Linked DNA regions of Tribolium castaneum. Each later gene encodes a partner of the first gene's protein in a complex. Links are inferred from orthologs where the notes say so. Each region holds a gene or a part of one and is shown in the gene's direction. Other genes may lie near its edges. The genes, in order: Prp6, peptidyl-prolyl cis-trans isomerase H and U6 snRNA-associated Sm-like protein LSm6.

Region 1 (3,472 bases):
TTCTCGAAAAGGCCGAAATTTCCGCAAAGCATTTTCATGACAAGTTCTATTTTGAGATTAAAATTGGTCGTAAATGATCTATTGCTTCTTAGAATATTTTTTTTTTGGAGTTTTTTTAATACTTATCAACAGATTTTGTGAATTTTTACAAAATGTAGCAGAATGAAAAAGGTATCTAACGGTCTGACATTTGAATTAATAATTAAATTTCTCTATACATTTTTTTCTTGGCATTTCTCACATACACTGTACACTGTAAAAACTTGAAGAGACACGTCAACAATTCTATGTTTTTTATGGCATACCGGAAACTATCGACTGGACTCTTGTAGAAATTTTTACTTTTTTTATTAGCCAGTATCAATGAATTGTACGAATTCATAAAGATTTTTGCTCCCAAAGCAAATATTTTCCAATGGGCCTCGGGCATAGCAAATTTTGCTCCTGCTAGACGCTTGTAGAACTACTCTTTGATTAATTTTTTTTGATAGGACTGAAATTAACAGTGAATTATGATATTCATCCCAAAATAAAAAAAAATCTGTTCTGATACGACAGTTTTAAAATTAAACCTAAAACCATCCTTGGATTATATAAAATAATTTTATGTTAAGCTGGATTCATTTTTTTCTAAGTGGATTGCTGATAACTTAACAAAAAGATGAAAAAAATTTTGTGAACTTCCACACAGTTGTAGCTATTAAAGATGTTAAAAATTATAAAAGGAACATGTTTCGTTGGTAACTATCATTTTCAGACGTGTTTACATTGAAAAAGAGATGAATAAAAAAGAAATTAAAAAAGTAAAAATTAACTAAGTTACATAAAATATTTTTTAAAGTTTTTTTCTATCACTTTGGTTAAAAGAATTTTCTTGTTAGGCCAAAAATCCAGCAACAGTTCTCCGACTTGAAACGCGACCTGCAGAACGTCTCCGACGACGAATGGCGGAGCGTCCCAGACGTGGGGGACGCCCGTAACCGGAAACAGCGCAATCCCCGAGCCGAAAAATTCATCCCTTTGCCCGACAGCGTCCTAGCCCGGAACCTGGGGGGCGAATCCAACACCACCATTGACCCCAGTTCGGGGCTAGCAAGCATGGTTCCGGGTGTTGCCACCCCCGGAATGCTCACCCCGACCGGAGACATGGACTTGCGAAAAATCGGACAAGCCCGCAACACTCTCATGAATGTTAAGTTGTCGCAAGTGTCCGATTCGGTGACTGGACAAACAGTTGTGGACCCGAAAGGGTATTTGACCGATTTGCAATCAATGATTCCCACCTACGGTGGGGATATTAATGATATTAAGAAGGCGAGATTGTTGCTTAAATCGGTGAGGGAGACGAATCCGAATCATCCTCCGGCGTGGATTGCTAGTGCCAGGCTGGAGGAAGTTACGGGGAAGGTGCAAGCGGCGAGGAATTTGATTATGAAAGGGTGTGAGGTTAATCCACAAAGTGAGGATTTGTGGCTGGAGGCGGCCAGGATTAATCCCCAGGATACGGCCAAGGCGGTGATTGCGCAGGCGGCCAGGCATATTCCAACGTCGGTACGGATCTGGATCAAGGTATGAGAAATACAAGTCTTTTGTTATTGATTTTTTATTATGTTTTTTTCTTCCCATTATTTTGTTTATTATGCTTAAAAATAAAAATACTCTGTCAATTGTTTAATTAAAATTAAATTTAAAATTTTTGTAGTGTTTACATTTTTTTTATTCATCACGAGAATATCATTTTAAAAGTACGTAACCAATAATAATAATATTATGGGACCTATTACTAGAAATAAAAGTTTTTTTTTACCTGTCTTTTTTCATCGTCACTATTTTGTTTATTAAGGTTTGGTCATCTTATTTTATAGAGAGTGAAATTGCTGTGGATTTTTTTTTGAATTTGAATGAAATTAACTTAAAAATAAAATTAATAGTCAGTCAAGAGAATTTTTAAACAAAAATTTAAGATTTTTAAAAGTACGTAACCAATAATAATAATATTATGGGATCTATTACTAGAAATAAAAGTCTTTTTTTACCTGTCTTTTTTTATCATCATTATTTTGTTTATTATGGTTTGGTTATCTTATTTTATACAGAGTGAAATTGCTGTGGATTTTTTTTTAAATTTGAATGAAATTAACTTAAAAATAAAATTAATAGTCAGTCAAGAGAATTTTTAAACAAAAATTTAAGATTTTTAAAAGTACGTAACCAATAATAATAATATTATGGGATCTATTACTAGAAATAAAAGTCTTTTTTTACCTGTCTTTTTTTATCGTCATTATTTTGTTTATTATGGTTTGGTCATCTTATTTTATACAGAGTGAAATTGCTGTGGATTTTTTTTTTTAATTTGAGTGAAATTAACTTAAAAATAAAATTAATAGTCAGTCAAGAGAATTTTTATACAAAAATTTAAGATTTTTGTAGTGTTTACATTTTTTTATTCACCACGAGAATAGCATTTTAAAAGTACGTAACCAATAATAATAATATTAGGGACCTATTACTAGAAATAAAAGTCTTTTTTACCTGTCTTTTTTTATCGTCATTATTTTGTTTATTATGGTTTGGTCATCTTATTTTATACAGAGTGAAATTGCTGTGGTTTTTTTTTTTAATTTGAATGAAATTAACAAAAAAATAAAATTAATAGTCAGTCATGAGAATTTTTAAACAAAAATTTAAGATTTTTGTAGTGTTCATATTTTTTTTAAATTAGTGAATTTATTAGTAGTTATTAATATAGCATTTTTAAAGTACTTACCCATTAACTATTGCGTCTATTTTATCGAAAATTCAATCATTGCACATATTTTATTAAGTGCGGTTTTGTAAGACATTTGTTTCATTAGATTTCTTCAAGATTTAGTAGGAGTTTCAACTTTATACTCAGACATGTGCAGTTTTATTTATGACAAGCTTTGAGGAAAGTTTTTATTTGTTTTATGATTCTTGACTATAAGCAAGTTTTAAGCTTTTTTTGCATCTATAATGGCTCTAATATTTTTTGGACCATAAAAATCTAAGTTGTCAAAATCAAACACGCTTAAAAGCGAAAATTAAAATACACTTAAGTCGAAAAATCACTTAATTACGTCGACAGTTAACTTATTTTGTGAAATTTAGTTCATAAATGTTGTTATTTTTATGTATTTTGTATTTGTTTTAAGAGTGAAAATTAAGTAGGATAATACTTAATAATTAATTTATTATTTGGTTTTATGATTTTTCCCCTCATTATTTTGTTTATTATTTTTTTGTTAAATGTAAATGAGACTGAAGACAATTTTTTAAACAAAAATTGACCGTTTCTGTAGTTTTTTATTTTTTTAAATTCACCACAAAAATTCTTGTTTGAATATTTTGATGTGAAAAATATTTTAAAATCGAAAAATTAATAAAAATAAACTTTTTTGTATTTTATTTTTTTGTTTCTGAGTTAAGATTATGTAATGACATAAGTTTG
Region 2 (2,659 bases), on another chromosome or scaffold:
GAAGTAAACAACGGACGGGCAGCGCCTCTCAACAAGTTTTGCAAAATTTTAAAAACCAAAATTTTTTTCCCGCACAAACCTTGCGAATTAACTGACTGAGTTGCCCCCCGTATCTAAGTGACTTGATAACTGCGTAACGAAAATTACGTTAAGTTATGATTTAATAAAACATGATAAGAACTGATAGTGATAAGGACGTCTAAGAAGACTGCAAAATCCAGCACAAAAATAAAATTAAATTCGTTGCTCTTGTTTTTATTTAACTTTAGTCACCGTTGGTGAAGTCCCTGATCGGGAATCCCCACAACCCAGAGATAAAAACCATAACAAGAAGATAAAGTCATAGACCCCACAGGTCACCGTATATAAATGCAGAAGTTTATCATCTCGAAGGTTACTCGTGTTGTTCCATTAAAGGACGTGCTAATTAAATAAATAATTTTAATTTTGCATACAAGGCAAAGTTGAATATGGGACGAAAGTTCGTGATTATTTTCTCAATTTTGCACCAAATTCTGGCTCGAACAGGTAAAACCACCGCTCAAACCCCATCCATTGCTAAATGAGGTGTTTCCAGAGTCAAACTTGCCGGCAGTGTGCCCCGAAATCGTGAGTCGCACTAGATGGGGGGCTCGCACTGCTTTGGAAGTGGATTACGCCCTAATCCCTGTCGAAAACGTGGTCGTGCACCACACGGTGACCAACACTTGCAGCACTGAGGAAGAATGTGCGGCGATTTTGCGAAACATTCAGAATTTTCACATGGAAAATCTAGATTTTCACGATATTGGATACAAGTAAATTTGATGATTTTTGTTTTTTTTTTTTTAATTATGGTTTAGTTTTTTAGTGGGTGGTGACGGCCAGATTTACGAGGGCGCAGGTTGGCACAAAGTGGGGGCGCACACACGTGGGTACAACTCCCGGTCTTTGGGGCTCGGTTTCATCGGCAATTACACGAGTAGGTTGTTTTTCGTGTTATTTTCGTACTTTACGAGCCTTTTATTACAGCTCAACTTCCAAATAAAAAGCAGATACAAGCCGCTAAAGATTTTCTCCAATGCGGGGTTGAGTTGGGAGAGTTGGGCAAAAGTTTCAAACTGTTTGGGGCCCGCCAAGTCAGCGCGACGGAAAGTCCGGGCCTAAAGCTGTACCGCGAACTACAGAACTGGCCGCACTTTACCAGGTCCCCGCCGAAATAAACTGTATTCTAGTTTTTAAAATAAAATTATTATAAAGCATACGATTTTGAATTTAAATATGGCGCCCATTAGTCGCAAGTTTGAGGTTATGTTGTTTTGATTATTCGAGGTTAGGGAACTAAAAACCGTAAAAATGCCGAATTGGGACCAAATTCAAGCCCAGTTGAAGCACCCAGCGAACCCGGTCGTGTTTTTCGACATTTCCGTCGGAACTACGGTACCAATAACCCAAAATTTCCGAAAACTGTATTTTTCGATTACAGGAAATCGGCCGAATGATTTTCGAGTTATTCGCAGACGCGGTCCCCAAAACCAGCGATAATTTCCGCCAGTTTTGCACCGGCGAGTTCCGCAAAGACGGCGTGCCGTTGGGCTACAAGGGGGCTAGTTTCCACCGAGTTATCAAGGACTTTATGATCCAAGGGGGCGACTTCGTCAATGTAAAAATCACGGGATGCGATTCCGCAACTAATTAATATTTTTAGGGCGATGGGACCGGCGTTATGAGTATATATGGGGGCGGAACGTTTCCCGACGAAAATTTTAACCTAAGACATGACGGTCCTGGACTTCTATCAATGGCAAACAGCGGCAAAGACACCAACGGTTGCCAGTTTTTCATAACTTGTGCAAAGTGTAATTTCCTGGACGGCAAACATGTGGTGTTTGGACGCGTTATTGACGGACTTCTCGTCATGCGGAAAATCGAAAACGTGCCCACGGGGCCCAACAATAAGCCCAAAATCCCGGTCACAATTGTACAATGTGGCCAAATGTAGTAGTGTAATTCAAATTTTAATAATAAAAGCACAAAATAAAACTTAGTTTAAATTTTTATTTTGTCAGGTTGGTGGTCCCATAACCTCACTTGTCAAAAACGTAAATAATCGTGAAATGGAAAATAAAAAAATATCGTTCGGTTTCAGCAAAATTAGTAAAAAGACCGAAATCAGGTCAAGTGTTCCGAAACCCGAAAATAAGATACAGCTAATTGACTGTTTAGAGGGTCAATCAATTAAAATAAAAGGGTATGTTTCGTTTTTGAGGTTATGTTATTTTTGCCAAAAACCTCATTTTAGTGCCGTTGAGGAGACAAATGAGCCGTTGGTGATACCAATCCAAGGCCCATCAAACAAATTAATAGACCAAATAAAAAAAGCGAGGGAAAAACACGTCAAACCTGAAGTTAAAGAAGAGACAGGGGAGGCAAATTCTGTGCCAGACTCTGCCCTATCTCTTGACGAATTAGCGGCAAGAGAGTTAATCCGAGGTACTTACCCTATGTTTCAAGTGATTTTCTAGTGTGAATAAAATTTTCAGAGGCACAGACTCGCAACACTGTACAAAGCGAGACAAAAGTCTACTCCTTGCCTTTAAATGACGACAAGTTTGTGGCAGAGGGGGCACAGGAGTCGTCTCTCGACGACTACGAAAGTGTACCAATTACAGATTTTGGT
Region 3 (2,345 bases), on another chromosome or scaffold:
AATGCACAGTAAAAATAATAAATGCACAGTAAAAATAATAATTGCACACTAAAAATAATAAATGCACAGTAAAAATAATAATTGCACACTAAAAATAATAAATGCACAGTAAAATAATAAATGCACAGTAAAAATAATAAATGCACAGTAAAAATAATAACTGCACAGTAAAAATAATAAATGCACACTAAAAATAATAAATGGACTGTAAAAATAATAATTGCACAGTAAAAATAATAAATGCACAGTAAATAATAGCATCTCAAAACTAGAGTGTGTAGAATTTCACATTTCCAATTTTACGTTTTTGAGTTTAATCGTTCGAGGAGTATTTTTCCTTTTAGTTTGCTGGGGCGAAGCCCTAGACTGCAAGCTAGCTACTGAGCGTTTATTATTTAAACTGTGCAAACTGAAACTAGATCCTGTGCATATACGATTTTTTTATTGGGCAAATTTTAAAAAAATACTGTGCGTGGTTTACTTGTCATTTAAATTTTTTACTGTGCAAAAATGAATTAAATACTGATGATTTATTATTTTTTACTGATTAAAATCGAATTTTTTACTGATCGCTTTATTACTATCCTTTCAATAATGGCATTTGAGTACTAAAAAGTACTACCCCCCGGACTGTTTTGTTATAAACCTGCCGGAGAAATAAGAAAAGCGTAACAAAAAAGCACTCAAATCAAACAAAACAATTTATTTAAGTTGATTAAAGTCAAATAAAACTAAAACGACAAAACATTATTGTTTCTCTTGGTTCATAAAATGATTCCTCAGCGCGTCCAAGGCGCGGTACCGATGAGAGATTTTATTCTTCTCCTCTTTGGGCATCTCGGCGTACGTCTGCGTGTACCCCACTGGCTGGAAACACGGATCCCATCCAAAATCCCTCGGCCCCCTCGGCATCACAATCTCTCCATCCGTGCGCCCCTCGAACAGAATCACTTTGCCCCCTTCATCGCCCGGATGATATGCAAAAGTACAAACGGCCTGGGCACTCTTATCCTCATGCCCAGCCAGTAGTCGAAACAGCCCCTCAGGACCCAACTTATCCAAGAACCACTTAATATAAGGACCGGGCAAACCACCCAATGCGTTGAAACACAGACACGTGTCTTCGACGATACACGGCCCCTTGATGATTTCGTACGCCGCTTGGCATTTTTTCACGCAAATATCGGCGATTTCGCCCTGGAGCTCAGGGAGGTCCACTTTTTGACTCACCACTTTGCGTGGGAATGTCGAGCCGAGGATGGCAACCACCTCTTCGAGCTTTTTGGCGTTGCCGGTGACGAATGTTAGCGGTTTCGACATGGTTTTGCGTGAAAAAAACAGGAAGTGGGGTTATGTACATGCCGATTTGAGGTTAGGTTTTTGTCAGCCGAGGCGGTTAAATAAGCAAATTTGAGCCACAAGCTGATAAGGATGAGTCGCAAAGAAGCCCTTTCGTCTTTTATTCAACAAATTCACGCCAGGCCTGTTGTGGTCAAGTTGAATAGTGGTGTAGATTACAGAGGTGAGGTTATGTTTGTTTTTTGTCAATGAAGGGGGCTATTATTTGGTTTTTAGGTGTTTTGGCTTGTCTCGATGGCTACATGAACATAGCGTTGGAGCAAACCGAGGAATACGTCAACGGACAACTCAAAAATAAATTCGGGGATGCGTTTATTAGGGGCAACAATGTGCTCTACATAAGTACACAAAAACGTAGAATCTAATGTATTTTTTGTAATAAAAACGTTTCAAAACTCAAAGTCGTTCATTAAAGCGCACTGATCGATTCTCGTAGAGCTGTTGTATAGCTCAAATAACTCGTTATTTGTCTCACACTCTTGTTTCTTTTTCTTACTTTTAACGAGACTACAGTTCTGATATTTAAATTCATTCAATGTGTTGTCCGGAGGAGTTGGATAAAATTCACAGATGAAGTCCAATTTAATTTTACAATTGAGTGCCCTCCACGTTTTTTCAACATCTAACATGACACAGTCTTCTTTTCTTCGTCCTGGTCTTGGGTGGCCCACAGCCCAGGCCCGAAACCGCGAACATTGCAAAAAGTCCCCCATTGGAGTCTCAAAACTCCCCTCAACCGTAATGTCGTCAAGGCCAACGTATGCCCCCTTGTACCAGTTAGGCAAAGACTTGAGTAACGCAGCTAGTGCGTTCGTCCTTGCCTCAGTCAAAATATCAGCCAGGTCGCCCCCCAAATCCTGGCACCGACGTGCGGCGCTGGAATAATTCATTTTTTCCTGAACCACTTGAAACAAACCGACTGATCTGAGACAAGTTGCGTTCGCTGTGGCTAAAATTCAATTCACATTAAGCCATCCTTCCAACAC

What was found.
Region 2: Prp6 (region 1) and peptidyl-prolyl cis-trans isomerase H share a complex: the UniProt entries of both Homo sapiens proteins name them as parts of the U4/U6-U5 tri-snRNP complex. The link is inferred for Tribolium castaneum from reciprocal best matches to the Homo sapiens genes PRPF6 and PPIH.
Region 3: Prp6 (region 1) and U6 snRNA-associated Sm-like protein LSm6 share a complex: the UniProt entries of both Homo sapiens proteins name them as parts of the U4/U6-U5 tri-snRNP complex. The link is inferred for Tribolium castaneum from reciprocal best matches to the Homo sapiens genes PRPF6 and LSM6.

What each region holds. Positions count from the first base shown.
Region 1 is NC_087399.1:6,879,851-6,883,322, forward strand, and holds part of Prp6 (pre-mRNA-processing factor 6), read left to right. Parts: intron 1-881; coding exon 882-1,569; intron 1,570-3,472. UniProt on the Homo sapiens protein: Involved in pre-mRNA splicing as component of the U4/U6-U5 tri-snRNP complex, one of the building blocks of the spliceosome.
Region 2 is NC_087395.1:17,966,455-17,969,113, reverse strand, and holds peptidyl-prolyl cis-trans isomerase H, read left to right. Parts: upstream 1-1,256; 5' UTR 1,257-1,335; coding exon 1,336-1,419; intron 1,420-1,465; coding exon 1,466-1,642; intron 1,643-1,687; coding exon 1,688-1,981; 3' UTR 1,982-2,026; downstream 2,027-2,659. Other genes in the region: peptidoglycan-recognition protein 2, read left to right, coding at 471-528, 578-797, 843-961, 1,012-1,202; G-patch domain and KOW motifs-containing protein, read left to right, coding at 2,097-2,230, 2,282-2,472, 2,523-2,659. UniProt on the Homo sapiens protein: PPIase that catalyzes the cis-trans isomerization of proline imidic peptide bonds in oligopeptides and may therefore assist protein folding. Participates in pre-mRNA splicing.
Region 3 is NC_087398.1:10,391,156-10,393,500, forward strand, and holds U6 snRNA-associated Sm-like protein LSm6, read left to right. Parts: upstream 1-1,383; 5' UTR 1,384-1,431; coding exon 1,432-1,522; intron 1,523-1,575; coding exon 1,576-1,724; 3' UTR 1,725-1,748; downstream 1,749-2,345. Other genes in the region: inosine triphosphate pyrophosphatase, read right to left, coding at 748-1,320; uncharacterized protein LOC100142353, read right to left, coding at 1,749-2,308. UniProt on the Homo sapiens protein: Plays a role in pre-mRNA splicing as component of the U4/U6-U5 tri-snRNP complex that is involved in spliceosome assembly, and as component of the precatalytic spliceosome (spliceosome B complex).